Cricetulus griseus: one gene and its partners. The protein of the gene in region 2 purifies or fractionates together with the protein of the main gene of each other region. This does not show direct contact. Links are inferred from orthologs where the notes say so. Each region holds a gene or a part of one and is shown on either strand. Other genes may lie near its edges.

Region 1 (7,419 bases), on a different chromosome or scaffold from region 2:
AGGACTTTGGAGCCAGCCAGGCAGGCACGTTTCAGACCTTAGCTCTGCATGACCTAGAAGCAATTTACCTGTCCCCAGTCTGCTTTATTTGGCAACAAAACATGCTTACGAGTGTCCATGACTGGGCTGGAGAGTTGGCTCCAGTTCAGAGCACTGCTGCTCTTGCAGGGACCTGAGTTACATTCCCAGCACCCATGTTTTGGGTGGCTTCTCAACCTCCCGTAACTCCAGCTCCAGGGAATTCTACACCTTCCTTTGGCCTCAGAGGGCACACAAACCCTCCTCTGGACTCACAGCATACACAAAAGCACAACACAAACAAAAAATAATTTCTTGTTGTTTTTGTTGTTTTTTGAGGCAGGGTTCCTCCGACGTGTAACAGCTGTGTAACAACTTGTTTTGTAGATCAGGCTGGCCTCAAACTCAGAGATCTGCCTGCCTCTGCCTCCCAAGTGCTGGGATTAAAGGTGTGCACCACCACCACCACCACCACCACCACCACCACCACCACCACCACCCATTAAAACAAATCTTAAAAACAAAAAATGTCTGTGGCAAGGACTTTTAAAGGATCTTGTTCATGTCACCCTACAGCAGATGCAAAAAACACTAGTTTCCTTCATTCTACTTCATATTCAGCCATTGTAAAAGGGGCAATAAAATAAAAATAAAATGGCATTAGGGATTTGGTCTCAGATCTTGTCCTCCAGCAAACTACCCATTATTGTGGCTCCAATAGAGGACTGAAAAGATGGGGACAAGACACTGTGGGCAGCAATAGGCAAAGTGCAAGAAGTCCTGCTGGAAAATGAGAAACACCAGGTCCCGACACATGGTTCTCCTAGGGCCATCAGCAACATCACCAGGCCATGGGGAATGCACTAGAGCCCTGGCCAGCAGGAGGGGAGGTGCCTGGGCTGGGACAGTTCCCCATGAAGGTGAATCAGTTCCTCACCACCACGCCTGACATCCAGCTGACAGCATGGAGAAGAGGGCCTGCTCCCAGCAGCAGCGTTAGCTACAAATTAGCCATAAGAAGAAGACTCAGCACATGTTAACATTTACAGGTTTCCAAAGCTGTGAGAGAATGTCCTCCAAAGGATCCCAGTGTGCTCACTGCGGAACACAGATTGAAGAATACTATGGCACTATGGCTAGCATGCTGCAGGGTCAGCCCACATAGCACCCAGTTCAGACTCTCAGCTCTAAAATCTGATACTGGTCAGTGGGTTTCTGAGCAAGGGGAAATGATTCGTCATTCACAACACAGCCACTGAACCTCCTGCTTCCAGGAAGACAGCGTATTTTAAATTTGGGAAGAGTCATAACTCTGGGCAAACCCAGCCTTCAAAGTCTACAGACACCAGTCTCTCATCTGCAAGAGGGCTTTGGGATGTATGAGTGTGTGTGTACACATGTGTGTAGGGGTGCCCTCCCTATTGGCAGGGGTAGTGACATGCCCCCAAAATATGCTTTAAATTGTGTCCAGCACACAGAAGCCTGTGGCAACAAAACTGGGAATATGCCAGTGGGGAAAATGTGCTCTGCAGCAACTGCCGACCAAAAGGCTTGGTTATACAAAGGGATTCTAGGAGTCCAGGCCCTAACAGAGCCAGAGTACAACCTGCCACTTGACACACCTGGCATCTGAAAGGCTGGCCCTTCTCCCTGGTCTCTTGCCCACTGAATGATACAGAATCTCAGAAGCCCTGGGTGCTAGGGAGGAAGTCAGATGTGTTCAGTCTCGGTGGCGGGGCCCTGAGAAGCAGGTGGCTTGTTCCACAGTCCCCAACCCTGAGGCAGCTGTGTGTATCAGAGAGCAGCAGGATGGACAAGCAGTGTGCACTCAACTCCCTTCCCACTCTTTGAAAGGCTCAGTGTCCAGAGGTGCGACTCCAGAGGCTCAACAGACTCCGGTTCTGAACTTGACTGCCTTGCTCACCCTAAGGACCCCAGTTCAGCCCAGTCCTCCACCTTTCACACGAACTGGGATAGGTTGGGAACTTTGATGTTGAGGTCGCCAATGTTGATGTTCCTCGGGATCTCAGGAAGGTTCATGTTCTTCACAGCAGACACGGCCCTGGCGGGGGCTGCCGAAAGACCACCCTGGGGGAAGGGGAGGACAAAGTCAGTCACTTTCCCAGTGTCATCTGCTTGAATCTCAAACCAGATGAGGGAGATCTAAAGAATTCCAAACGGCACACATGGGAGTTTTCATTTCTTTCCTTTTCAAAGGTGGTCAACAAAGCCCTTTTAGATGGCTGGAGCTTGGCATGATCCCACTATATGGTCTGCAGAGGGGGGTGTGTCTTGTGCAGTTTTGCAGCTGCACCATCTAACAGTGCTCATGGCTGATGGTCAATAATCAGTTGCTGATAATGGTTTATCCAGGTCTTAAGCATTGAGGATACTCAATTTACAAAGCAAAACAAAACAAAACCCTTTCTTCAAGAGTCCACCATGCACACCTTAACTCCAGCACCTGGGAGGCAGAGGCAGGCGAATCTCTGTGAGTTCAAGGCCAGTCTGATCTACAAATCGAGTTCCAGGACAGCCAGAACTGTTACACAGAGAAACCCTGTCTTCAAAAACAACAACAAAAACAAAAGTCCACCTTACAGGAAAATGCTAAGTTGGGGAAATTCTTTAAAGGAAACAGAACATCAGATTTAGGACAGCTTAGTGTGAGCTGGAAAAGGATGGGCTTAGACTATCATGTGGCAACAAGCTGGAAAGCACTGCCAGGGCCTGGGAAAGCTGCAGCAGACACCTGTAGGCTCATCTCATCCGGGGAGTGCAGTGGGAGAAGTGACAAAGACTTCAGAAACTCATTGTTCCCTGACTGACAGCTCTCAGGACACCCATTCCCACTCCACCCTCCCCTGTATGGTTGTCTCTGTGGTTTCCAGACCCCTTGCCTGATTCACTCACTCTGCCTGGAAGCACTCACTTCCCAGCCGACACCCCTCAGGAAACTCTAGCAGCCAGAGCTGTGGCTAGAAAAGCTTCTCCAACAGTATCAGCAGTCCTCACAGGAAGAAAGCCTGGTTTTGTAAGACAGGCTCCATTACATAAAGCAAAGAAACCCTCAAAGACACTCAGATGTCACTGTTCCATCATTTCTGCAGCTATGAGGGGTATGCCTCTAGCCTTGCTCACTGTAGGGCTGAGGAAGGCTAAGACCACAGTGGGACAGGCCTGGCTATACCATGGCTCCTCCATCAAGCCTGTTGCCACATGAGGATGGATGGGTATGGTATTTTCTCTGTTATTGTTGCTTTTTGAGACAGGATTTCTCTGTGTAGCCCCTGGCTATGCAGACCAGGCTGGCCTTTAGACTCAGAGATCAGCCTGCCTCTGCTTCCCCAGTGCTAGGACTAAAGGTGTGCACCACCACCTCCAGGCTGGGTAGGGTATTTTCAAATCAGCATTATTGTAATTTTGTAGAAGTGTCACTGAAAATAAAGAATCTTGAATTCCTAGCATGAGATATGCACAAGCAAATACACACAAGCACCACAAATGTGTGCTTGTAACCATATTCTAGAAGCTGTTTGCTTTTTTCTGCCATCTGCCTATCTTTTACGCCTGACATCTCAAGTTGCCTTACCTGTTTAATATTTATACTAGCCTTCAAGTTAGTGTAGACAAATCAATAGAGACAGGTCCCACCTCCTAAGGACCCAGAGAAACATAAGCCATACAAACCACAGAGGCACACACAGCACACACAAGCCACATGAGCCCACATAGCATCCACAAGCTCATACAGCATACACAAACCTACACAGTACAGACAAGCTCATATGAACCCACACAGTATACACAGGCCCACATAGCATCTACAAACCCACACAGCCCACACAATCTCATATGAAGCTACGTAAGCCCATACATCATAAACAAACCCACACAGCACACACAAGCTCATATAACTTACACAAGCTAATATAGCATACACAAACCTACACAGCACGTACAAACTCACACAAACATACACAGTACCCACAAGCTCATATAGCATACACAAACCTACACAGCACACAGAAGGTCACACAAGCCCACAGAGCATACAAAAGCGACACATACTACACAAGTACATGTTCCTTCTTCCCTCTGCCCAGTGCTCTCTACACAGCCAGGGCACGAGTATAGCTACTTCCTTACCTCTGACTTCTCCAGCCTGTTTTGAGCTTCAATTTGAGCCACAATTTCATTCATGTTTGTTTCCAACACCATCCCACCCATCACCACCTCCTGAAGGATGTAGTGCACCTGGAAAAGAGGCAACAAGACGACTCAGCACAGCACAGTGGCTCCCTTGGTGGCAGCAGCAGAGGGGTCAGACAGGCCACATTCTCATCTATGCTGGTGGCCAGGTCAGAGGAGCAGCAGGAGTCAGCTCACCAGAATGCAAGGCACTGATGGGCAAATCTCAGATACACAAGGCCCTTGGGGCTTCAGTTCCAGAGTGTCTCTTGCTACTGCTGTGCCTTTACATGCTAGATACTAGAGAAAAATGTAAAGGCACAGCCTATAATGTAGTATAATTATCTCATGGAAATATCCCATTCTACTGGACATTTTTATCTGTGAATTATTACGAAGATGATTTCCTCTTAAGCTGCTTAACTTACAATTTTATTCAACGATAGTTTTAGTTTAAATAGGATTTTGATGATTAAACTTTTTTTTAACTAGCTGGGTGGTGGTGGCGCACACCTTTAATCCCAGCACTTGGGAGGTAGAGGCAGGTGGATCTCTGTGAGTTCAAGGCCATTTGGTCTACAAAGTGAGTTCCAAGATAGCCTCCAAAGTCACAGAGAAACCCTATCTTGAAACCTGCCCCTCCCCCCAAAAAAGTTTTTTAAACAAATGTAGTAAGGGATTATGACAGAGGTTAGTTTAGTGGGAACATTAATATAGATAAAAGTAGGATATGGTGTTGCCCCCATCCCTGATAAAGCAGGGGCTACAGAGGATAGAAAATAAGAATAAGAAAGGATCATGGAGCTAGGTCTTGAGTTTTACTTGAGGGTTTGTACAGACTGTGGTTAGGTTAATGATTAGGGAAAACAATTGAGTCCCAGGAGTTAGCTCAAGTTCTTTCTGATATTGGGAAATGGGTTTCAGTGTGCATCATAGCTAAAACAAAGATTTAAACAACTGACTTCATGTAACTAAAAAACAAAGAATTAGATGATTAGTTAAGATAACTGGACAGGATTCTAATATAAAAAGTATAACAAATAACCTATTTTTCTGGCAATTATAAAAACCAATGCCTATGTAAACGGCTACAGCTGAAAGGCTCCTGATCTATGAGAAGTCTAAAAGATAAGTGTTTAACTGTATGTGGGTTCTTGGGGGACAATTTGTTTTTTACCTGTAATATGTAAAATGTTTAATCATGTAAGGAAATGGGAAATGTGTTGTTTTTCACTTGTATGCATTAAAATCATTCACTTAAAAATGGAATGTAAACATATTTAATTAACATACTTAATAGTGCTGAAAGGTTTTGCTGGGGTATATAAGTTGTAAGGGGAAAAAAAATAATAAAGACAAGAAGAAGGGAAACACGAGGGGAGAAGAACAGAACAGAAAAAGAATAGAGTAGAACAAGCAACAGAAGGAATAGTAAAATGAAGAACTACGCTTTGGCCTTTGGAAAAGTCCTCGTGTGTCTGTTTGTCTGTTCTGTAGTTTGCCTGCTCTGCCTCTCCTATTCAGACCTGCTGAAGACTTGCCATTCATCAGCACCCTAGGTGAGATCCTGACATGTTGGGGGTGGGTGGGTGGGTGGGTGGGTGTGTGTGTGTGTGTGTGTGTGTGTGTGTGTGTGTGTGTGTGTGTGTGTGTGTGTGTGTGTGTCTTTTTCACCGACCCCAGAGAGATCCTGACATGTTGGGGATGGGTGGGTGGGTGGTGTGTGTGTGTGTGTGTGTGTGTGTGTGTGTGTGTGTGTGTGTCTTTTTCACCGACCCCAGAGAGTTAAATTTTCCTCCCTCAGATAGAAAAGTCAACTGAGTGATCAGTCCTCTTACTCCGTGTCTCCCCTTCAATTCCTGAGCTGTTGAAACCTGGTCCTTATGGCAGCAGATCCATAACTCAGACACCTCACTAGTGAGACCACAAGTGGTCTCTGCCCTTTGGTCTATGGCTTTGGGGCCTTCTATTAGCAATGACAGGGGGTGGGGGGTTGGTATCCTCAAGACAATGAGGTGGTGACAGAGGCTCCACTCAGACAGGTCATGTTTAAATTCTAGCCCTGCTGTTGTTAGCTAAATGGTCTTTAGCAAATTCTATTCTCAAAGCTTCAGCTTCCCTCTAAAACTACAGGAGTAAATGTCTGGGTAAGATAACTAGATGGGAAACTAGACATAAAAAGGCCTTGGCTAGTGCCTGGTACATACTAGGTTCTATACAAGAAGAGATGTTTTCCTATCACCCATTTGACTGTCATCACACTGGCTGGCATTAAGTAAGACCAGCTATTCGGACCAATCCATAATCCAGTAGTACTCTAAGCAAAGTTAAATTTTGATGCACAGCTAGGATGGAGCAGAGGCGATTCAACCACTACACAGGGATGACAGGAGAGCTGCCATAGAAAGTCCTGGGTGGGTGTGCTCACTGGGGCCTGCAGGGCAGTACTTCACATTCCTTTGCAGTACTGAGACTTGAACCTAGGGCCTTGTGCAAGCATTTTTCCCAGTTCCCCTTTCAACTTTAACATTAATGTTTGACTCATTTATCTCAGACTAACCTTGAACTTGCTATGTAGCCATTAAAAAATGACCTTGAACTTCTGATCTTCCTGATGCTATCTCCCAAGCAGTAGGATTACAGGTATGTGCCACCATAACCAGCATAGCCATGAAACTCAACCCACAGCTATGTGCATACTAGACAAGCATAGCTGACCAACGTGTCTAGGGCTTATCTTTTTGAGAAATATTCTTGTTAAATTGCTCAGGACAGCCCTATACTCACAATCCTCCTGTGTGCCACCAGATCCAACCTGGCACTTCAAATTCCAATTCCAAACCAAACCGTAACAACAAGACTTGTAATTATTTTCTGTCAAACCAGGAAGGTAGGAAGTACTACCGTCTGTTGTCAAGTAAGTGTAGAACTTTTGGACCACCCCACAGGAGGCCAGAAAAGGTCCTGAGAAAAGCAATGTAGCTACAGGATGGGGTGGATTTACAAAGCTCCTGGACCTGGCTGGGACAGCAGTTTTATGTAAGAAAGGTGGAGAAAGTAGCTTGGACTTGAAGCAAGGTATCCTAGCCTTGAGATGGTGTGTGTGTGTGTGTGTGTGTGTGTGTGTGTGTGTGTGTGTGTGTGTGTGTGTGTACTTTCAGAGGCTAGAAGAGGACACCAAGTATCCTGTTCTATTATTTGTTCTGTCTT
Region 2 (7,419 bases):
TTTGGTTAGTTTACATTTTTAATTCAAAAGTAATCCATGCTGAACAGTTGTAAAAGGTAGTAACTTTATAAAACATTTTTTTTTAAAAAAGATGTTTTTTACTAACATCAACAACCATTAACATTTAGGCACATTTCTTTAAATATTTCCTCCAACTTTTTTCTATTTTGTTCATTCTATTTTCTTTTTTTATAATCCCAGCACTTGAGAGGCAGAGGTAGGAGGATAGCAACAAGTCTGAGGCCAGCCTGGTCTACATTGTGAATTCTGGGGCGGTGAGAATTACACAGCAAGACCCTGTCTTGATTAAACAGGTTGCAAGACAGGGAGCATATCCTATACCCCAACATTCAGGAGGCTAAGCCAGGAAGATTGCTAATGGAAAGCCTGAGCTGCAGAGTAAGACCCTGTCTTAAAAAAAAAAAAAAAAAAAACCAAAAAACCACACACAAAACCACACCAAGCTTAAATCAAACATAAAATATGGTTTCAGGACATAATAGGCAGTGTGTTTGCCTAGTATACATAAAGCCCTATGTTCACAGGGACAAAAAACAGGCAGCATGCTTGTCTAGTAGGCATAAAGCCCTGGCACTGAATTCTCTGGCACTGAATGGTGGAGCACACGCTTTAACCTCAGCACTGGTGAGACAGTGGAGGCAGGAGAATTAGAAGTTCAAAGTCATCTTTGGCTACACAGCAACACAGTATGTTCAAATCTAGATTAGTTTTTAAGGACGAGGAATGTATGTAGCCCAGAATGCCTGAGAACTAGGGATCTTCCGACACCAGCTTCCTAGGTGCTAGGATTACACATATATCTCACTATGCTAAGAAGGCTAACACTCTTTTTACAGCTTATTTATAGATGGCCCTCCTGTCTCCAACCTGTTACTTTCCAAGAGTATTATAAAAACACTGTTTAATCATACTATTTCCCTGTTCAGAAGCCTTTATGCTTCCCACTCGCCTTCTGATAAAAGCTTGACGTACTGCTTAGCCCTGGGGACAAACAGTCTCCTGTCTCAGCTTCCCACATCACACTCAGCCCAGTCTTACCTTCTAAGTGTACCTTCAGTGTTCAATTACAAAAAGCTCTACTGCTAGAGGGGCTAATACAACTCAGTCTTCCATTTTATGTGTATTTTCTTCATAACTGCTCTCATTTCTCTATCTTATTCTGTAACCTACTGATTCTGCAGGGCTTGTGTTAGGGCCACGAGGTAGTTCAAGTTACTTCATCCATTGAACCATTCTTTGGTATGTGTACGTATGTGTCATACTAGGCACAGAAACAAAGCCTTAGTATAATAAGCAAGACTCTACTAATATATATATATCTATATAGCCCAGGTGTATCACATTCTCTCACTTTGTAATCCAGGCTAGCCACAAACTCAAAGCTGTTCTCCTTCAGCTGCCCTAGTAGCTGGGATTACAGGTATGTACCACCACATCCAGCCTGAACTATTCTCTTAAACTTTATCAAACCATGCTATAGTTTCACATTAATTTTTTCCTATTAAATACATTTTTTTTTGGAAAGTTAAAGTATGAAGTGGATTGGAGAGATGGCTCAGGGGATAAAAGTGCTTGCTTTGCAAAAATGAGGGCCTGACTCCAGATCCCAGCCCCACAAAAAAAGATGGGTATGGCTGTGCACATACCCATGTCCCAAGCACTGTGGCGGTCAAAACAGGATGGCTGGGGCTTGGTGGCCACCAGCCTAGTTTCAGGTTAAGTGAGAGACATTGTCTCAAAAAAAGGAATCAGGTGAGAGTGATAGAGCAGGACATCTCTATCCTGGGCATTCACACACACCCCCCTAAAAATGTATAAAGCAAAATAAAGATGTTTTCTTAGCTAGAGATAGCCAATGTAAACATTTTAGATTTTGTTTTGTTTTTCGAGACAGGGTTTCTCTGTGTAACAGCCCTGGCTCTCCTGGAATTGACTCTGTAGACCAGGCTGGCTTCAAACTCAGGGATCCGTCTGCTTGTACCTCCTGAGTGCTGGATTAAAGGTGGCACCACCATAAACTGGCCATTTTAGAATTTATCTTCGTAAACACACACACACACACACACACACACACACACACACACACACACGCGCGCGCGCGCGCGCGCAAAACCTTGATGATTTTGTGCTTGTTTTTCCCCCCCATTTTTGTTGCCCCACCACTGAATATTGTGAGTTTTCCAGTACCTCAATACAATGTCCTTGAAGTATGGAATTGCTCTTTAAAATGTTTAGATATTTAAACTACATTCCATAAAACTCTACCTCCAGAAGACTTCTTCTTCTTTTTTGAACACAGTCCCAGAGCTAGGTTGACCTGAGACTTCGTGTGTAGACCAGGCTGGCCTCTAATTCAGAGATCCATCCACCTGCCTTCATCTCCTGAATCCTGGGATTAAAGGTTTTTGTCTCCAAGCCCACTCTCTCTAGAAGACCTTTAATCCTCAAAAGATTGTCTGGGCATACTTGATTTCTAGGTGTGGTCTACAATGAAACTCAACTGGAAGCTTATAACAAAAGCAGAAAGTCCACTATACATGAGTTCTATTAACAATCTAATTTTCTACTTATTTTACTAGTTCTTTTCTTTGAAATATTGGGCATTGAACCTAGCAATAGGCAAATGCTCTACCACTGAGCTATACCTGGACCCTAAAAGTCCTTTGTCATGCAAGACTGAGTCTCTTTTAATAAAAGAAACATATTTCTCACTCTGTACCACAGACTGGCTTTGAACTTAGCAATTCCCTGGTCAGCCTCCTAAGTGCTATGATTACACACATGAGCTATATATGACTTTATATATCTGTTTTTGTTATTATTCTTGCTCTCTCTTTCTCAAAAGAAAAGGGGGGCTGGCCAGATGGGTCAATCGGTAGGTAGGTAACACCTGAAGACCTGATTGAATCCCTAGCTCTGATCTCCGTAACTATGCTATGGCATGGAAACAGGCATGCATTTGTGTATAAGCATGTATACACACACACACCCACCCACACACCCACCCACCCACACACACCCACCCACCATTTATTTTAACATTATTGGTAATTTTAATTTTGGCCAAATTAGACTACCCTAATAGTCTGCCATATGAACAAAATGGGCTGTTCATAAAGTTTCAGTGGATCACTTCCTAGCAGAGTGTTTTCAGCTTTCATACCTGTAATAGAATTGACGACAGAACGTAGAATTGTTGGTGGCTTAATCAGTTCTTTCAAAATGTTAGATTCAGTAGCCAGTGGGAATCCGTTGTCTAACATTTCTTCCAAGAGCTCATACACTATGACCACATTATCCTTAATTGCAGCCTCTGAACACTCACCAAAGTAGTCCTAACAAAATATTCATAATATTGAACAACAGAAAGCATGAAGGAAGGCTTGCTTTTCTTGTTCTGAAAAATAAACAGTAGCTTAACTCATGGTTTAAGACCTTAGATATATATATAGACATAAAAAATTATCTAAGAAGACCTAACCTACTCCCCCCACTCCCCTTGGTTTGTCAAGACAGGGTTTTCTGTGTAGTTTTGGAGCCTGTCCGGGAACTTGCCAACATTTTTCTACAATATTTTCCAACTATATTTATACAAAATTGATTCCTATCATATATCATGTTAGAAAGTACTGAAATGTTAACTGTAAACTTCATTAGCCCTGATAAACCACTCCCAAACACATAAAGCTTTAAGCTATTTGGTTTATTTACCAAAACAAGAGAAAATAGATAATGTAAACTTAGAAGAGCTCATGATCAATAAATCTTTGTGGCAATCCACATAATTCTAAGTGGGCACTCTCATTTCCTGATGGTATAGTTTGCCACACATATAAAAATGAACAGAGCAGCAATGTGTGTGACTGAATACAAGTGTTTATGAGGTTATGTTTAATTATTAAGGAAAGTCACACTGTACACATCAAGAGCCTAAGTAACAAACAGGAACACTGGTCTCTCAAGTATCTTGAGTGATCTAGTTACAGCAGTTTGATGAATACAAACCTGAAAAGTGTCAGCAACTCGATGCAGAAACTCAATTACAAAGAGAGGTGGCACTTCTGTCTGTATGACAGACACGAAGAAGAGCTTATCCCGGTAGATACTGATGAGGTAGTGGTGAGGTGTTGAAATGACAGGTGGTACATTTTCAACATCAGCAGCTTTCTCCTGAGCTTCAAAGAAATAGTCACAGACAGACTGGCTTACAACGCTCTTCCAGTGCTTTTCTAGAAATATGTCGCCAGAGCAGTTGATGAGAAATAGACTGTGGATCATTTTCTGTGAAGGAAAAAGGGGCCTTATACTTACTGTACACTGAAATGCACAGTTGCAGTAGATGTAATAAACATAAAGAGTCACAACTGGACAATGTCTAGTGAGTGAGACTTTGGAGCACTCATCTCTAAACAGATTGTCTTTATCACATCCCTTCCTTAAGACTCAGGGAACTATGGAGAGGAGGAGACAGAAAAATTTCAAGAACCAGAAGTGGTAGACAACTCCAAGGAAACAGCATCTTCTAGACACAAAAGAACTGATACACATATGAACTCATGGAGACTGTGACACCATACAAAGACCTCCACAAATTAACACCAGACAAAAAGCACAGCATAGAGAAAGGGAAGTAGATACCAAGTCCCACCCCTAAGAAGCTATTTGCAACTAATACCTGCTAGGAAAGGGAAAATCATGTGTCTCTACATGAATCATTGTGTTTATCAACCACACTCTAGGGCAGGCCCCATGTACAGGTGCAGCTGGCTAACACAAGAAGTACTCCACTTTGTGTGTGTGTACTCCCCTCCCCCCCCTTTGCCATCTTTCCTTTTTTTCTTTTGGACTGAGAGAACATGAAGTTGGGTGGGTAGGGATATGGGGAGGACCTAGGTAATGGGAAGACAAAGAATATGATCAAAACATTTTGTTTGAAAAAAAAGTCCTTTAAGTAACTGCAGATCAGTATCGCTGGAAAACTAAATTCAGCAACAAATTTTAAAAAGTGTTATTTATTCCAAGAATGCAAGTTTGGTTGAACATAGAACAGTTAATCAATGTAATATATAGGTAAGTGCTGGTTAATTCTGCCAACTTGAAACAGCCTAGGTAAATCTGGAAGAGGAAATCCTAATTGAGGAACCGCTCCATCAGACTTTTCTGTGAGCATATCCATTGGCCATTTTTTCTTGACTGATGTAAGAAGACCCAGCACACTGTGGGTGTTGCTCCCCCTTGGCAGGTGGTTCTGGGGGATATAAGAAGCTGAGCAAGCCACTAAACAGCTTTCCTCCATAGCTTTGTGTCGGGGCCCATAAAAATAGCTTCATTTCATCTTGGCTTAAGGTCAGAGAGTTTAAAACTATCTTTACTTTTCCAAGGTTAAAGTCACAAGACCTAAAGGTCTAGGGCATTGCTACTGTAGGATGTTTGGCCTTAGGCGTTGTTACTCTTAACCCTCAAGACAAGAGAATGAGAAATTTAGTCTAAGGCATGGTTACCAAATGTTTGGAGAATTAAGGAAGAAAGTTTGTTTCTTCCTTGTATCTTGATAAAGAAGGGTTTTTTTTTTTTTTTTTTGCCATTTTCCCCTTTTTGGTTGGGGTATTTAAGATTGTTGAAGAATAAACTTGGCACATTCAGTATTCACTGGATTACCCTCCTGACTCTATTCTGTGTCTCTCTCTTCCTTAGTATCTTTACTTAATGTTTCTCAATCCACACTCCCCCTTTCAGGCACAAAGACAGGTTAACATACAGTTATGTCCTGACTTCCCTCAATGAACAACTGTAATCTGGATGTGAAAGCCAAATAATCCTTTCTTTCCCAAGTTGCTTTTGGCCATGGTATTTATCATGTGTGTTACATAGCAAATTTGAGGTTCATATGGGACACATGTCTTAAAAACAAAAAGAAACAAAACAACAGAAAAATATTTGTCAGCTATGCAATATGGGGGCAACTGAAAACTGTCTGTTTCATCTTTATTTTATATTATGACAACTGTTGCAGAAAAGTTAAGTCAATCATCTAAGACCACACAGTGTCAGATATAAGATCTGAACTTAACAGCTGAATTCTGAGTTCCTGCTCTTAATTTGCCTCTTATACACTAATTATCAGGCATGTATTTGAACACAGAGCTAATTAGGTTTTCAACAGCTAGGGAAATGTCCTTTATTTATGCTGTCCAATATGGTAACCATTGAATACTGAGTATTAGAAATGAGGCTAACGTGAGGTTGGGGGTAGTGGCATACATCTGTACATCCCAACACTTGAGAAGTAGAAGCAGGAAAATCAGGGGTTCAATGCCAGCCTGGACCATGGACACAGCAGATTCAAGTCACTTCATGATATATGAAACCCTGTCTTAAAAAGGAAACAAACAAAAATGTAGCAAAGACAACTAAGGTACTGAAATGTTAACTATTTTTGAGACAGTCTCACTATGTATTCTAGGCTATCCTGAAAATTGCAAACTTGGAATTTGTAAATTGCAAAAAGTTCCACATTTAACAGCTAATTTGAATAAATTTAAACACCCACATCTGGCTTCGATACTACTGGATAGTACAGTATGGCTTGGTTTAAGAGGAACAGTTGAATGTTACACCAAAATATGTTCTAGCTTTTATGCTGAGTTTAATAGATTAGAGTAGAAATAAATGAAGTGACACCGATTATTTTAAATCACTAGTCCTATGGAAAACAGTGGCACTCCATTATCACATTACTCTCTAAGAGAGTTGCTTGTTTTTGACTACTTTCTATTTTGGAGCTAGATTTCCACTCATTTTCTTAAGCTGGTGAAAAATTCTTTCCAGGAAAGTTTCCACCAAAGTTGTTTTTATTGGCAGTAGTTCAGGTTTCAGACTACACTGCTGTCAAACCAACCACTGGATTTACTGTTGTTATCCTTTGTGCTGAGATGAAAGCATAACATTTCAGGCATTCAACAGCACTTGGCTTCAAAACCCATCTTAACTTTCTATAACAAGAAAAGAGACCTTAGTTTTTCTATCCTAACATGGCCAATTGCCTAATGCATACAACGATTAAGCAAAATCACATAGTACAGTAAAAATTAGCTAATTTCTTTACCACTTATGTGTTTAGCAATTATTTTGTTACCCATTTTATTGAATTTTCCTAGAAAACTGCACAGGGACCACCACAACCATTTGAATCATAAAACACTCCCATCAGAATTTTGATTGTAGTTTAACTGCTTCATGAATCCTCTTTACTAAATGTGCATTCATCCTGAGGTCTTACAAGCAATACAATTACAAGAGTCAAAATATCTTTGAAAGTCAAGTGTTTTCTGTTTTTCCTTTTCGATATGGTCTTATGTTGCTGAACTTGTGGGGTTCAAGTAATCCCTTGCCTCAGCC
Region 3 (7,419 bases), on a different chromosome or scaffold from region 2:
ATGTGGCTGGTCTTCTATGTCCACATCATCTTGGAAACCAGCCACCATTGGGTTCCCTCCTACGGCCTCCCCATCATCACTGCAAAGAGGGGGAAGGCAATCAGAAGTTCGAGGGGGGCTATGATTCCCTACCCCACTGCCTGGAGAGCTGCCCTGTCTACAGTACCATATTCTATTGACAAGACCTTCTGGGCTGTCACAGGGGCTGCTAAATAGAGGTGGGAATAATAGGACAACACTGCCTTGCTGCTGGCCAATGAGGGAATCAGTGGGAGAGGAGCCCAGCTAGAAGCCTTGAATCTATTTGTTTCTGGAAGGGAATCCCTTGGCTCCATTGAACATGATGATGCTGGAGATGCTAACAGTCATTCAACATTTGATCTGCAAGAGAGAGTGATCTTAGAGCTTGGCTGTACACAGGTTTTAGTGTGTTGTTAGAAGACAGATGGGGTTTGTGGGAAGGGGTAGCTACAGGAAGCCACACCTGGCCAAGGCTTGCTTGTTTGGGTCCATATGGAGAGACCCAGGTGGCCTTCCCTATGCCCTACACATAGAATGGGCTAGGATATATTCAGAGTGCCTCTGTCCCTGCTGGGCCATCTGCCAAGGTTCTTGCTGTCCTAGGAAGATTCCAGCCCAGTGTTCTCCAGTCTGCTGTGGGCATAAACTGCCCCACTCCATGGTGAGCTGGCTATCTACATACCCCAGGGTGGCAGTGATTAATCTAAGCAGCCCTTCCCTCAGTTTTTCCAGTCAGAATTCAGCCTTCGTTCCTTAAAGCTAGACACCAACCCAGCAAGCACAAAGAAAGGCTTTCCACAATCCCCAGCAGTGTCTTGGAGATCCAGGTATAAATGGGATGGGGAAGCTGTGTTGGCAGTCCCTTGAGGTAGACCCTGTGCTCAGCTCCATCAATCTATCTTTACCTGTCACTATCCTGCTGTGGGCCTTTGGTTCCAATTTTCTTCTTGTCTTTAGGCAGGGTTGTGTCTTCCAGGAAGCTTCGATCAAGGCCATCTTCAGGGACAAAATCCTCAACATTCTGGACTCTTGCTGGGGCCTCTAGGGCTGGAGCTGGCTCTGTAGAGAAATGCCGTTTCTTCCTTATGTGGCCCCATGATAGGAAAGCTTCAAAACTGAGTCTGTAGGACTAGGACTTGACAATTCATGCACCCTGACTCAAGATCATAGGTCCAAACAGCAGCAGCTGGCCCATGAGGGAGGAGCTTATTAGGGACACAGGAACCGCATTCCAGTCTCTGAGGGATGTGAGGCTCAAGATACCAGAAGCTAGCTCCAAATTCACATGTTCAGAGGGCTGCTCCCAGGCCTACCTGGAGGTGAAGGGGACACTTCTGCAGCTGGTGAGGTCCCAAACAGCCTAGAGATGATACTGCGACGCTGGGCTGGGGCTGGGGCTGGGGCTGAAGGCTGCACAGAGGAGGGCACAGCCTCCAAAGGGGGTGCAGGAGACGGTGCTTGGGGACAGGTGGAGGAGACACTGAGGGACAGCTGGGGGGCAGGCTGGGGAGTGCTGGGGCTGGAGCTTCCTGTGGATACAGCACTTGGAGGCACAACTGGAGACTGGGAACCTGAGGATGGACTCTGCCCATTGGCCGCCAAAGGGGATGCATGGCCTCGACTTCGAGCCTCCATCATTTCAAGGAAGCTAGGAGGGGCAAAAGGATAGGGAGTGAGAAGTTGGCTTTCTCTTGGACCTCTTTCTCCAAGGCTTTTGACCATCAGTGCCTCTTTTGCATTTATACTATTAAGCAGAGGATAGGGACTGCCTGCCAATCAGCTGCCTCACAGTCTTTGGTACCCAGACTAATGCCTTGCTTATATCCTGTCCCTTTATACTGGTACCTGCCTGGGGAACTGAGTCTCACAGCACAGATGAATGACCAGAGTCAACCAGGACCAACTGTTTTATAGGGTTTGGGTAGGTCAGTGGCTGTCAACAGTACCCAACTAGTGACCAAGAGGCAGGTATGGCTGGTTATTTGCCAGTGGGGTAGAGTTGCTAATCATACATGTGTAGTTGCTTTAACCACAGGTTTGTGCTGATCCACATGTAGGAACCATACCAGATGTAGGTTCTGATGGTTCCAAACTATTTGGGGGTATAGAGTGCCAGAGCCAATACAGCCCACCCTCAGGATTATCTGCCCTCACTTTCTGCAAGAACTCAGGGGTCTGTAAGGAAACTGAAACTGTCCCCAAGATCAGCATAGCTCAATTCACAGTATTAATACACTTGTTCTAGGCAAGTGCTTTACTAAGCAATTCACATTAATAGTTAAAAACCTCAATCGGTGAACAGGAAGGGCTTTGGGTAATAGCATGGAGTACCTGTCCTAAGAGGCTGAGATGAGCTGGTGTACCATGTTACTCAGCTATTCCCCACATTGCTCCACCTGAGTACTAAGGGCTTGGCTAAAGAATACTCAGGTTGACTGACCTACCACCCATGTATATGGTGCTTTCTCCACTGCCTCACAGGTACAGACCAAAGCTTGGCATCTGGCTCCTATCTGTGGACTACTAGGGCCCACTGGCAATACAGTACAGTACCCGCCCTTCCCATCAGGGTAGCCAGGGCCTGCATATCTGTAGATGTTGGCTCACGTACATGCTGTAGTTCTGGTCCTCAGTTTCCTGCTGCACTGACAGCTCCTCCAGAGTGGCATCAATATCTAGTTGGTTTGTCTCCAGCTGCCTCAGCAGTGTTTCCCTCTGTAGAGGAAGTGGACATAGCTGAGTATGCCTCTTCCTGTGAGGTCTGGCTGGATCCCAAGTCAGCTTGTGTGGCTTGGAGGATACAGGTCAGTCATGTGGAGCCACACCAGAAAGCACAACCTTCTGTTTCCACATCATACCTTGGGCTGTCACTAGAACTTACTGTTGGCCTCTCAAGGTCACAAAATCATGGCAATAGGTGCTTAAGACATCTGGGGAGCCCCATGGGGAACTTAGGGTGATAAACTCTGCCAGGTACATACTGGGCAAACCGTACACTTCTAGTATGATGACCAAAGCTGATCAGATCAAGCCTGTGGGTTCAGTTACCATGTCTTTTGCATTTAGATTTAATCTTAAAATACAGCAGCTTCCAGGCTATGTGAGGGGACAGGATATGAAACAGGACTGCGTTTTTAGCTGGAAAAGGCCCTACTAGACAGTGCTATCACAAGAAACATGGCCCCGGGACAGAGCATGCCCCAGGCTTATACTGGAAGTGCTTTCCATCACAGAGCAAATAAACCAAATGGAAAAAGTGGGAGTAACTAAAGACCAAGAGATCTGGTCTTTATATTTTGACAAAATAGAAATACATGAGAATAAGGCAGATCAATACTCAGGACAAGCAGGCATATCACAGACAGATGAGGGCCCTAATTTAAAACTAAAGATGTGATATACCAAGAAAAACCTAGACAGCCACATCAAATACCCTATATAAGTCTATTTAGACTTGACTTTGCATATTGACCAATAACTGGTAATTGAATAATTCTGGAATTATAGTTTGTTTTCTGAGACCGGGTTTCTCTGTGTAGGCCTAGCTGTCCTAGAACTCACTTTGTAGACCAGGGTGGTCTTGAACTCAAAGAGGTCTACTTGCCTCTGCCTCCAGCGTGCTGGGATTAAAGGTGTGCACAACCACCCGGTCTTATAGTTTTTTTAAAAGACTTGTTTTGTTATTTTTATGTGCATATGTGTGTCTGAGTGAAAGCCACATGTTTGAATGCCCAGATCTATAAGAGTACATTGGATCTCTTGAAGCTAGAGTTATGACAGCTGTTGGCTACCCAATGTGGATGTTGGGAACTGAACTCAGGTCCTCTGGAAGAGCAGCAGGCTTTACTAACCACTGAATCATCTCTTCAGCCTCATGGTGTCTGTTGTATCTGGGTCTGGCCTGGAACTTGCTATATGACTAAGGATGGTGCAAAATTTATTTTCTTTCTTGTCTCCACCTCCCTATTGCTGTGATTATGGCATGTGCCACACCTGGCTTATATAGCACTAAGGACTGAACCCAGGGTGTTATGAATAATAGGCAAGTATCTAACAACTGAGTTACATCCCAAAGTCATTTTTAGAAAAATTGTTTAATGTATATAGACATTTAGTCTGTGTACCATGTACAGAGCCAGAAAGGCATTTTGAATCCCTTGAGGATAGAGTTGCAGACAGTTTTGAGTTACCATGCAGGTGCTGGGAATTGAATTGCCATCTTATAGAAGAGCAGCCAGCCCCTTCAAGATGGAATGGTTCAATCCATGGTTACTTCTAGGTACCCACCATCCTGCCAGCAGACAGTAGCTATCATATTCCCTGCAAATAACCATGGAGGAAAGTTATGTTGTTCTGGATCTCAGCTTAGGCTTCTAGCACCAATGACTATCCTGGCATCTGTCTCCCCTGGCAGGAATCAGTGGTAAAGCTTTCATAGAGTGGAGCAGTGTGAGTTGTTTTATGTAACAGTTTCCTCCAAGATCGAAACATTCCATATTACAGGACTCTAAGTAGAAAGGTAAAAACTTAAAATAGCTTCAGGAAGTCCCTGAAACTGACCAGATTCATTAGGTCCTCCCTGCCTGAGTAAGCAATAAAGCTGAGAATCCCCCTTAGGAGGGAAGTAGAGATGAAAAGATGACTCTCAGAGGAGAAAGGTTGCAAAGAAGACTCAGACTAAACCAGCTACAAAGACACTTGGAAAGGATACTCTTTGACCTGTTAAGCTGCCTACAGGCTGTGCAGAGTACTCCAGGTTTCCAGCTTGTATGAGCTGTTGACCTATACTGGAGTGGGCTTTGGTGATACAGTTGTCTTTCTGTCATTTTTGCTTCTGTAAGTAACCCCAATAAAACTCATTGGTTCAGTTTGGAGCGATGGCTCAGCGGTTATGAGCACTGACTGTTCTTCCAGAGGTCTTGAGTTCAATTCCCAGCAACCACATGGTGGCTCACAACGGCCTTGAATGAGATCTGCATGCAGATAGAAGACTGTATACATCTGGGGCAAGTAGATATGGCAAGTTGTCTACCCCAGGAAAAGTTTTGTCTCACAACAGAAGTCTTCAGCGGAAGTCCTTTAGTACAAGTTCCTTATGATCCTGTAGGTTTGTTCTTCTTCCTACCCATGGCTCCTCAGCATAACCCCAGCTGCAGGAATATCATGTTTCTCAAAAGGACAGAGATGAAGAAAAGGAAGGCTACTTTCCTGAGTTTGGTGTATTGGATAAAGTATGAAGGGTCTCTATACTCAGGGGAGGCTACAGGTCTCCAGGTCCAGAAAGGTAGCCAGACCTCTTTGGTTTTCTTATTCACCAGAGACCCCACACCAAGCTGTTTCAGTTCCTGGTTCCAAAAAGAATTGGTCCTCGGTTCTTATGCTTAGGATCCAGAGCGTTGTTCTATTTTCAGCTTTGCTGCTCTCCTAGTTCTGAGAAGCTACAGCACACCTCAGGACCGGAGAAAATGACCACAGCTTAAGCAGGGTAGGGTCCTGGGGCGGGGAGGGGGATCTGAAACTACATAGAGCTTTGGGTTTAGTTTATAGACTGAGACTGGTTCCTTGACCTTGACAAATATAGAACATAAACAGGAGACACTGGGGACTGGGTGATGATAAGGCCATCTTATACTATCTCTGCAAATTCTGTTTTGTTGTTGTTGCTGTTTTTCTGAGACAGGGTTTCTCTGTGTAACAGCCCTGGCTGTCCTGCAACTTGATCTGTAGACCAGGCTGGCTTTGAATTCAAGAGATCTGCCTGCTTTTGCCTCCCGAGTGCTTGAATTAAAGATGTGCACTGCCATCATCCGGCTTTTTTTTTTGTGTGTGTTTTGTGTGTTTAGAAAGGGTGTCATGTAGTCCAGGCTGGTCTTGAACTTGTTACACAGCTAGGGCTAACCTTGAACCTGTGATCCTCCTGCTTCTACTTCCCAAGTACTGGGATTACAAGTGTGTATCACCATGCCCAGCACTTTAACTTTTTTGAGATGAATCTTCCACTTACTGAGCCTCACTACATAGCCTTAAACCTGAAGTGATCTTCCTGACTCAGTCTTCTGAATGCTGGGAACAGGTGTGTGCCACCATGTTTAGCCTATGCCACTTCTATTTATCTGAAAGATTCCAAGAACAACACTCAATGAAAATCAGGGTAGGTGCAGCTCTTCACCCTACCAGGCCACCCTACTTGCCTCAGCTGCATCAGGAAGGCTAAATGCTTCAGACAGGGTGCAAGTTATCTGTTCTTCATGAGATGGCCAGAGGACTATGATTCCGAGTATAGCCAGCCCAGAATTTGATGTGGAGTCACAGAAGTTGCATGTCTTGGAACCTATCTCTTGATGACAGACAGATCTGTGTGACTAGGACCTCCATAGCTATATGTTCATCTGGTAAAGGGGTCTGCACTTTAGTCAGTGTCCCAAAGAGGCATAAGGGCTCTGTACATGTTAGATGGAAACTTCTGGATGCTCTCAGAGAGCGAGACATGTTATCCCACTTTTGGCCCACTGTGAGTGGCGTCTCCAGCCCACTGGATACATGTTGGTAGCCAACTTCCAAAAGGTGCCCAAGAGTGCTGTTAGGGTCCTTGAGCAGAGCCACAAAAATGATGGCTACCCACTTGTCGGCCCTACCTGGTAAGCACTTACCTGTAACTGCAAAAATGGGATGTTGAAGAACTTATGCAGGTACTTTAGGCCAAAGCTGTTCTTCATGGAAGACTCAGCATAGCGGAAATAGGAGGAACCTGGAGGTCTGTTTTCAAAGAAAGATAAAGGAACTTAGTGGGCAGTGTGGCTTGACTCCTATGTCAAGGGCCACACCTAAGGCCTAAGGTGTTCTGTCTCCCTTGCTGCCTTCTGGCAGCAGGTTCTTAAGGACCTTCTGCAGCTGACTCCTCTGGGGTGGTCAGAAGAACTGGATGGGGGCCAAGCAGGCCCCCCAGTCCTGGCATATGGTCCGCATATCTTCTACAGCATTACCAGAGACCTGGAGCTCCTCATCCTCTGGCCATAATCCCTTCCCTAGGCCAGGATGCTGACAATTTATCTCCAACACAGGATGAGAACCTGCGTTTGCTACCCAAGTGTCTATAAGCTTCCCCCAACACTATCAGGGCAGAACATAAGACCTCCTTACAGGAGGAAAACTGGTAGCACCCACCTGTCCAGGTGGTCAATGAAGTCACGTACATCATCTGGTAGAATGACTCGATGCTCGCCCATGTCACGGTAGTTGCCCAACACGCACACCGGCACATGGGTTGGCACTTTGGGAAGCTCCCGGAGAACATAATTGAAGGTCCTTCAAAAAGGGAGAGTGTTTTGCCTTAGCTGTGTGACCCTTAGAATGCTATGTGTACTACCCTTTTGGTTTAACTCCCCAGAGCAAATGTCA
Region 4 (7,419 bases), on a different chromosome or scaffold from region 2:
TCGTCTTCCATAGGCTTCACAGGTGGCTGTTAACAGACTGTTTCCTTCCCTTGCCTTGTTCTAGAAAGAACATTGAAGGACTGGATCCATCTGTCCACAGTCCTGATCCCATCTCAACAATCAAGACAAGAGGCTGGTCCATGCACCACGACACTACAAGACTGTCACCTTTGCTCACTCTAAAGAGCTAGTATTCACACAATCCAACCCCAGGACCCCACCTCACCTAGCCACAATGTACTAAAATTGTAGGCTGTTATGGTTGGAGAAATGGCTCAGAGGCTAAGAACATTGGCTGCTTTTCCAGAGGACCTGGGTTCAGTTCCCAAGACCTACATGCTAGCTCACAAACATTTCTAACTCAAGTTCCAGGGGATGTGATGCCCACTTCTGACTTCCTGCATGTATATGGTGTGCATAAAAATATACATGCACACACACAAGCACATACACATACAAACACATTTTATATATGTACCTTATATATACAGGCACATAAAAACATATTTCTTTTTAGATTAGGCTGTTGAAGAGAAGAACCTACAATGCAAGTGTTAGTATACCAAAAACTCCTATTGACCAAGGGGTCCAGCTGCCAGGGAAGAACACTATGGGACACTCTCAATAACCTGTGTTAACTTTCATACTAACTTGCACCCAAGCAGACTAATCAAAAAAAAAAAAAAGTTAAAATACAACCTCTCCTGAATACTATATAAATTCTTTTTTTAAAAGATTTTATTTATTTATTATGTATACAACATTCTGCTTTCATATATATCTGCACACCAGAAGAAGGCACCAGATCTCATTACAGATGGTTGTGAGCCACCATGTGGTTGCTGGGAATTGAACTCAGGACCTCAGGAAGAGCAGTCGGTGCTCTTAACCTCAGAACCATCTCTCCAGCCCCCTCTAGAATCTAGAATTTAACATCCATCCCTGCTTCCTAATGTTTGTACTTTGTGTAATCACCTTGCTTTGGTGTAAGCAAGGCCTGAGACTTTGGAATGTGGCAAAGGTACTGTGTTGCTAGTACGGAGACTCTAGAGACTTTGTCCCTTGTGGCTTAGAAAAATTAAGTGGCCACATTGGGAGGCTCATATGGAAGGAACTAAAGACAGCCTCTAAAGTTGAGAGTAGTCTCTAGCTGACAACCAGCAAGAAGTCAGGGCCTTGGCTCTATACCACAAGCACTGCTGGCCTTATGTGATCTGGGAAGTGACCCTGACACTGTGTGAGCTGGGAAGTGAACTTATCCTCAGCACAACCTCCAGGTGGAAACCCAGCCTTGGCCTACACTCCCAGGACAGTCTTGCATAAGACCCAACTGAATCACACCAGGTTCTTGACCCATAAAAATGAAAAAAAAATCATTTTGTTATCTTAAGCCACTAAGTTGATAGTAATTTATTATGAAGCTATGGAAATCTTAAAGGATTAAAATGTAACATCACGATGACTGTACCTAAGGCTCAGAGAACATCTAGGAAAGAGGATGAATGAATGAATGAATGAATGAATGAATGAATGAATGAATGCATACACATGTAGTTAGCAGTGATGACTATCCAGAGTTCTAACACTTGATGGTCCTGCCTCCCTTGCTTGAGTCCCTGGGGCTAACACTAGCCACTGTGATTCAAAAAAAGCCAGTAAAGAAGTCAATTATCACCCAGGTGTGATGGCTCACACACAAGTAGTGGCTGCACTTGGGTGGCAGAGGAGCGAGGATCTCTGTGATTATGAGGTCAGCCTGGTCTACAAAGTGAGTCCCAGGACAGCCAGGACTGTTACACAGAGACCCTGTCTTGAAGAAATGAAGAAAAAGAAGGGGCGGAAGAAGAGTAAAAGGAGAGAGGGTGAGGAGGAGGAGGAGGAGGAGAGGAGGAGGAGGAGGAGGAGGAGGAAAGAAGTCAAAGTCATTGTCAATTGTCACCACCTACCATGACAGTGACAACTGTCATATGGTCAGGCCCAAGCTTATAAAAGCACAATGGCTTCAGGGCCCTGGCTTAATTCTGGGCATGTCACACTCCCCACTACTGGAGCACTGATTGTGCCTTTTGCTTGGTTTGCCTCCTTCAGCTGTTGGGGATTGAACCCAGGGGACCAGAGTTTCCTGCATGCTAAGCACATGCTCTATCACTGAGTGACACCTCAGTCCTGCTTCATTTTTCCAAGTGCTCCTCCAACCCGCTCCTCCAACCTTCCAAACAAGACAGCACACACACATCTGCTTCCCTGTGCTGCTCGCTCCTCCAGACTGATGCCCCACAACACTGATACGCACAGACCAAGTACTTCACTGCCCCTGCATGTAGTTACTGCCCGTCCTAACTGACTCCTGACCAGAGTCCTGGCACTTGGAGGCCCAGCCTATCCCAACTTGAGTCCTCAGACTCATGCCAAGCACTGTGAATCAAAGGAATCAGTAAAGATGCCATGTGCTGTGATCCTAAGATTGCCAAAGGCTGGCAAAAGAGCCACCTTTAGGCTACACTGTGGTCTCAGGCTATAGCTCTACTGTAGACCTGATCCATACATCCAGATATTTTGCTTCAAGGATCTGAAAACGTTTTCTGCAAAGGGCCAGAGATTTTTAGGTTTTTATAGGCATGCACACTGTTTCAAGGTAGTCAGCTCTACCACTGTAGCACAAATACACCCATACATAATATGTAAACGAACATGCTCCAATTGAAATATTTGTTAAAGCAAGCCACAGGCTAGGTTCAGCCTATGGGCAGCAGTTTGCCAATGCCAGTATTGCTGAACTCTCCTCTTGTTTGGAATCTCCATCTCCTTGAAAAGTTCTGCACATTCTGCCTTATTCTTAGAATTTGCTAGCGCCATCTCAGGGAACACTGGATAACCAAAGGCTCTAAGCACCACGATATTCTAGCTTACTTGAGCCCCATCCTTGACTATAATATTTCTCATAATCTTTTACCTTTCGAAAGGGACTGGTTGCCAACACCTCCCAGGCTAGAACACAGCCTTAACAGACAGGCCAGACATCACCAAGCTTTGCCCTGGAATACATATTCTCCCATCAATGCCCATCACTGCCAGCCCTCCCTTAGCTCAATCAGCACAGGCACCTCACAGCCCATGTTCCAAAGATGACGGATAAGGTCTCTCTAACATCAAGACATGAGCCTCACAGCCTCACAAGAGACTCTCTTTAATGGTGACTCCACTGGAGTCCCAAGAATAACCATGGGCACTGAAGTGGCATTGGTGACTTGGCAAGACTAGTCACCTGTCCTAATATGCCTTTTCAGAAGAGTCCAGGCCTGCTGGAGAGAGTCAAAAGAATGCTTCCTGTGGCAGCTCTTGGGGTCTAGAGAAAGCTAGTGGGGACATCTCTCACTCCTCACCTGCTTTGAGTTGGTCAGGTAAAGCTTGGCCGCCAGGTTGATGACCTGCAGCTTCACGATGTCCTCCTCTGCTGTGAATGACTTGGCCATTTTTCTCAAGACATCAGGTGCAATCTTAGGCACATGCTCACAGTACTCTCCAATGAGCCAGAGAATGCTGGCTCGTGCCATGGGCACCTGTGGGTATAAACAGGTGTTAGGACTACAGGAAACAGATTGGTGAGGGTAGGATGAACTGCCAAGGAAATGGCTGCTATCTATGCTGGCCTACTGTCTTATAGGTGTCCGAGGATGGGGGCAAAGGGGTAGAATAGGTTCAAAGGTGGGCATTTATAAATGCCACCCCATATTCCACATGGTTTCATTATCATGGGTAAAGCTGCCAAGCTGTAAAGTCAACCACGGTTTTCTAGATTTACTTTTGTACCACCATGTCAGTATTCCTGAATCTCCAGTAATGAAAATAGGTATATTTCAACTCTTCAATGCAACAGAAAAACAAGGGATTAAACAATCACCCATCCTTGGTGAGAACTATGGCGGAAAATAAAGAGTGGTAGGAAAAGCTGAAGAGCTCTGTAAGGGAGCCCCACAGGGATAATCTTGGACAACAAGGTCACACAGTCCAATCGTTCTCCTTGTACCTAAAGAACTTCCAAAGTTCAATTTGGAAGCTGATTGGGGTGAAGCTAAAGCATTTGGCTACAGGGTCTTGAAGTAAAGGTCAGAGCTAGAAAGATGGCTTAGAAGTTAAGATCACTTGATGATCTTGCAGATGACACAAGTTCAGTTTCCAGCACCCATGCTGGTTGGTGCACAACTGCCTGTAACTCCAGCTCCAGGAAATCTGAAGCCTCTGACCTCTGCAGGCACTGGCACTCACATGCATAAACCCATCCCCACTTCACAACACACATAATTTAAAGCAAAAGAAATCTTTAAAAAGAAATCGTGGGGGCAATGTTGGGGCAGGCTGGGAACACAGCATTGCTCTCTCACCTGGATGTTGTCTGTGAGCTTGGCCAAGTGTTTGATGATCTCTCCATGCTGCGCTGGCTGCATCTGCAGCAGCTTCTTAATGACCACCACTGACTCTGCAACCACAAGCTCTAGGGAATGAGAATGAGAACTTGAGCCCAAGAACAGTTGGATGGCCACACCAAGGTGGACAGGCACACCTGCAATGCCCTTGGTGGTCCTCTTCCTCAGCCCCCTGCACTCCTCAAGCAGCCCTCCAGTTACAGCAACACCTGGACACTATCTGAAGCAGATATACATTGCACACACACACACACACACACACATACACACACACACACACACACACACACACACACACACACACGGGAAAACCCATTGGCCAGCAGGGTCAGACATGCAGGGACACATACACCATCAAGGACGAACACTTCTCCAGGCAAACACTGACCATCACGGTTGGACAGAAGCTGCACCAAGCCATTGAGGCAGGTATCACGGACTCGGCCTATGTTTGTTGCACATCGTCCAATGGCCTGGATCGTGGCTGCAACAAAGTCTTTGTCCATGCTGCGAATGTAGGTCTGTGGGACATCATGACACAGGAACATCCAGTAAGTAGTGACCCCACAGTGAAGAGCTTAAAAGTGACCTTCATGTAGGCTAAAACTGTAAACCCTCATTTTACATCCATCATGCCACAGATTAAGTCTCGGATTATGACATCTCCAAACCACATTGAGGGAGTTCTCAGCCCAAAGCCAACAGAAGGCACTGAAAGGGGTACTTAGGCAACAGTTTCTACAGTTTGGGGCTCTTGCCAAAAATGAGAGTGATCAGGCCAATTCTCACTGGGTTCAAGGATCTATTGGGCTCCTCTCCTGGGAGCTGCTGCCTGGAGGTTAGCCCATGGCTTGTACCTGAAATTCCCGTAGAACTGTGGGGATGTTGGTCTCATTGGCCAGGTTGGTCAGCACTTCCAGCTGCAGGGAGAGGTGGAGGCAGAAAGTGACCAGTGTGGCCAGCAGGTTTTCTGAGCTTTATTGTAAACAGACTTTATGGACTAGAAAGTAATACTCAGGACAGTTCTGCACATGCTCAGAGTATATGGAAATGCAAGATCATAAACCTTCAAAACACAGGAGGATCAATTTGCCTCCTCAATAAGGTCCCCAACAAAGAATAGGTGAAGTAGGGTCATGTCACTTTCTTCATCCACAGAAAGCTATTCCTTTAAGGATAGAAACCAGGGATGATCTGAAGGTTTCTGGACCTGACCACTCTTCCTGCTTCCTGCCTCAGAGTCTTTGCAAAGGCTATTCCATCTGTATGGAGCAGTTCTTCCCCTTTCTGACCCTGAAATTACTTAGGTAATTAACATTCATTTACCAGGTCTCAGTTTAGACTCCATCTTATCAAGGAAAGCTTCCTTGATCCAAATGATGGTAGCCCTATTCTAATTTTATTTATTTTCTGCCCATGTTGTTTTGTCTATGCACCATGTGCATGCAGTGCCTGCAGAGGCCAGAAGAGGGCATTGGATTCCCTGACCAGATTCACTAGATGCCTCCCTACCAGAGTAAACAAGAGCCACCATGATCAGGGAAGCATGCAAAGACTGAGACCAGACCACCTGCCTGGGAGAAGCAGAAACCGCCCAGTGGCCTAGAAGAGCTGTAGACCAACTGAGTCACTTGGAAAGAACATTCTCCAATTTGTTAAGCTAGCTGCAGGCCGTGCAGTGTGCTCCAGGTTCCCAGCTTTTGTGAGCTGTCACTCATGCGGGGGTGGACCTTGGTGATGCAGCTATCTTAGTCATTTGTGCTCCTGTAAGTGCTCCATACTCTTGCAAGTAACCCCAGTAAAACTTATTGGTTTACCCAGTTGGACTTTAGTGGTATCTGAACCTTGACTTGTGGGATCCCTATCTAGGATGAGTAGATATATTCTGCATCTCCCCAGAAAGTTTTGTTCCACGACACAAGCCAGAGGCAGTTCCTCACCACCTGAACAAACACCTGCAGCCTAGAGATGGGCTCAGCTCCAGAAAGTGGCAGGCACCATTGTGACCAGTATTAGTTAGCCCAGCTGGTATTCAACCAGGTGGTGAGCAGGAATCCGAGGCCATGCACTGTCCTGCACTTACCTTCAGGATCTTGATCTGGGTGGGATCCGTAGACCTAATGTAGAAGCTCTTCAGGTAGGGTTCAAACATGCCCTGGCAAAAGAGAGCATTCCTGGGGATCTCGACCACAGCCCTAGATTTGTCTCTTCCAGAGACATCTGTCCCTTCCAGCACAGGCCTCATGTCCCTTAAGCCTCAACCAGCTCATCCCTGCCCCATGTTCCCTGTCCACCTTAGATCTGACTTATTCTTCTCATGGGGCACACACACACACACACACACACACACACACCATGGCCTCTTCAGGATCTAGACCCTGCTCTTGGTTTGCATTTGGGGGGTCATTAAAACTTACACCCTCAACGGGGTAATTCCCCTATTTTTATGGGCATCCCTCTTCATTCCACCCTAATTCCCTTGTCCTCTATGCTCCCACCCTCTGTCCCAACAGCTTCCTCAGAGCCCACAGAATCCAGAGCGGGCCTTGAATGCATGCTTACCCGGCGCTTGATGGACATGGTGGCCACATTCTGGAGCACTACGTACTGCACCTCACTGTGGAAGAGATGGGTCAGAGGGTTCTGAACCCCTCAATTGCAGGGAGGGCAGTGGGTTGGGGAAAATAGGTTGGCCAAAGAGTTGGGAGGAAGGAACTTTTGGGAGAAGGGTGGGCTCGGACTGCGGAGGGGGCGGGGCTTCCCGCACCTGTGGCTGCGCAGCAGGCGTACTAGCGCCTTGGCGATGACGCCCACCTCCGCCTTGGGCGCAAGGTGGAAGTAAAGCTGGGCTACTGCCATGACCACCGCGGCGCTGCGGCTCTGCAGCAGGGGCTTGGTGTTGCGCAACAGAAGCCGGTGATCCGGGTCCATTACATAGGGCTTCCGAGCAGGCAGCGCAGCAGTGGCTGCCTCCTCCGATCCAGGGCCTTTGGCT

The links.
Region 1: the proteins of Ap3m1 (region 2) and AP-3 complex subunit sigma-2 purify together in Homo sapiens (co-immunoprecipitation; 3 studies listed by BioGRID and IntAct, counting the BioPlex papers as one, with this or other methods). This does not show direct contact. The link is inferred for Cricetulus griseus from reciprocal best matches to the Homo sapiens genes AP3M1 and AP3S2.
Region 3: the proteins of Ap3m1 (region 2) and Rabl6 purify together in Homo sapiens (co-immunoprecipitation; 3 studies listed by BioGRID and IntAct, counting the BioPlex papers as one, with this or other methods). This does not show direct contact. The link is inferred for Cricetulus griseus from reciprocal best matches to the Homo sapiens genes AP3M1 and RABL6.
Region 4: the proteins of Ap3m1 (region 2) and Ap3b2 purify together in Homo sapiens (co-immunoprecipitation; 3 studies listed by BioGRID and IntAct, counting the BioPlex papers as one, with this or other methods). This does not show direct contact. The link is inferred for Cricetulus griseus from reciprocal best matches to the Homo sapiens genes AP3M1 and AP3B2.

Annotation. Positions count from the first base shown.
Region 1 is NC_048596.1:117,716,123-117,723,541, reverse strand, and holds the end of AP-3 complex subunit sigma-2, read right to left. Parts: intron 4,276-7,419; coding exon 4,168-4,275; intron 2,107-4,167; coding exon 1,978-2,106; 3' UTR 327-1,977; downstream 1-326. UniProt on the Homo sapiens protein: Part of the AP-3 complex, an adaptor-related complex which is not clathrin-associated. The complex is associated with the Golgi region as well as more peripheral structures.
Region 2 is NW_023276807.1:199,936,352-199,943,770, reverse strand, and holds part of Ap3m1 (AP-3 complex subunit mu-1), read right to left. Parts: intron 4,303-7,419; coding exon 4,027-4,302; intron 3,357-4,026; coding exon 3,185-3,356; intron 1-3,184. UniProt on the Homo sapiens protein: Part of the AP-3 complex, an adaptor-related complex which is not clathrin-associated. The complex is associated with the Golgi region as well as more peripheral structures.
Region 3 is NC_048599.1:136,936,825-136,944,243, forward strand, and holds part of Rabl6 (rab-like protein 6), read right to left. Parts: intron 7,327-7,419; coding exon 7,186-7,326; intron 6,778-7,185; coding exon 6,672-6,777; intron 2,737-6,671; coding exon 2,633-2,736; intron 1,670-2,632; coding exon 1,335-1,669; intron 1,081-1,334; coding exon 927-1,080; intron 80-926; coding exon 1-79. UniProt on the Homo sapiens protein: May enhance cellular proliferation. May reduce growth inhibitory activity of CDKN2A.
Region 4 is NC_048596.1:116,113,734-116,121,152, reverse strand, and holds part of Ap3b2 (AP-3 complex subunit beta-2), read right to left. Parts: coding exon 7,192-7,419; intron 7,042-7,191; coding exon 6,987-7,041; intron 6,580-6,986; coding exon 6,508-6,579; intron 5,345-6,507; coding exon 5,282-5,344; intron 4,946-5,281; coding exon 4,813-4,945; intron 4,493-4,812; coding exon 4,383-4,492; intron 3,561-4,382; coding exon 3,384-3,560; intron 1-3,383.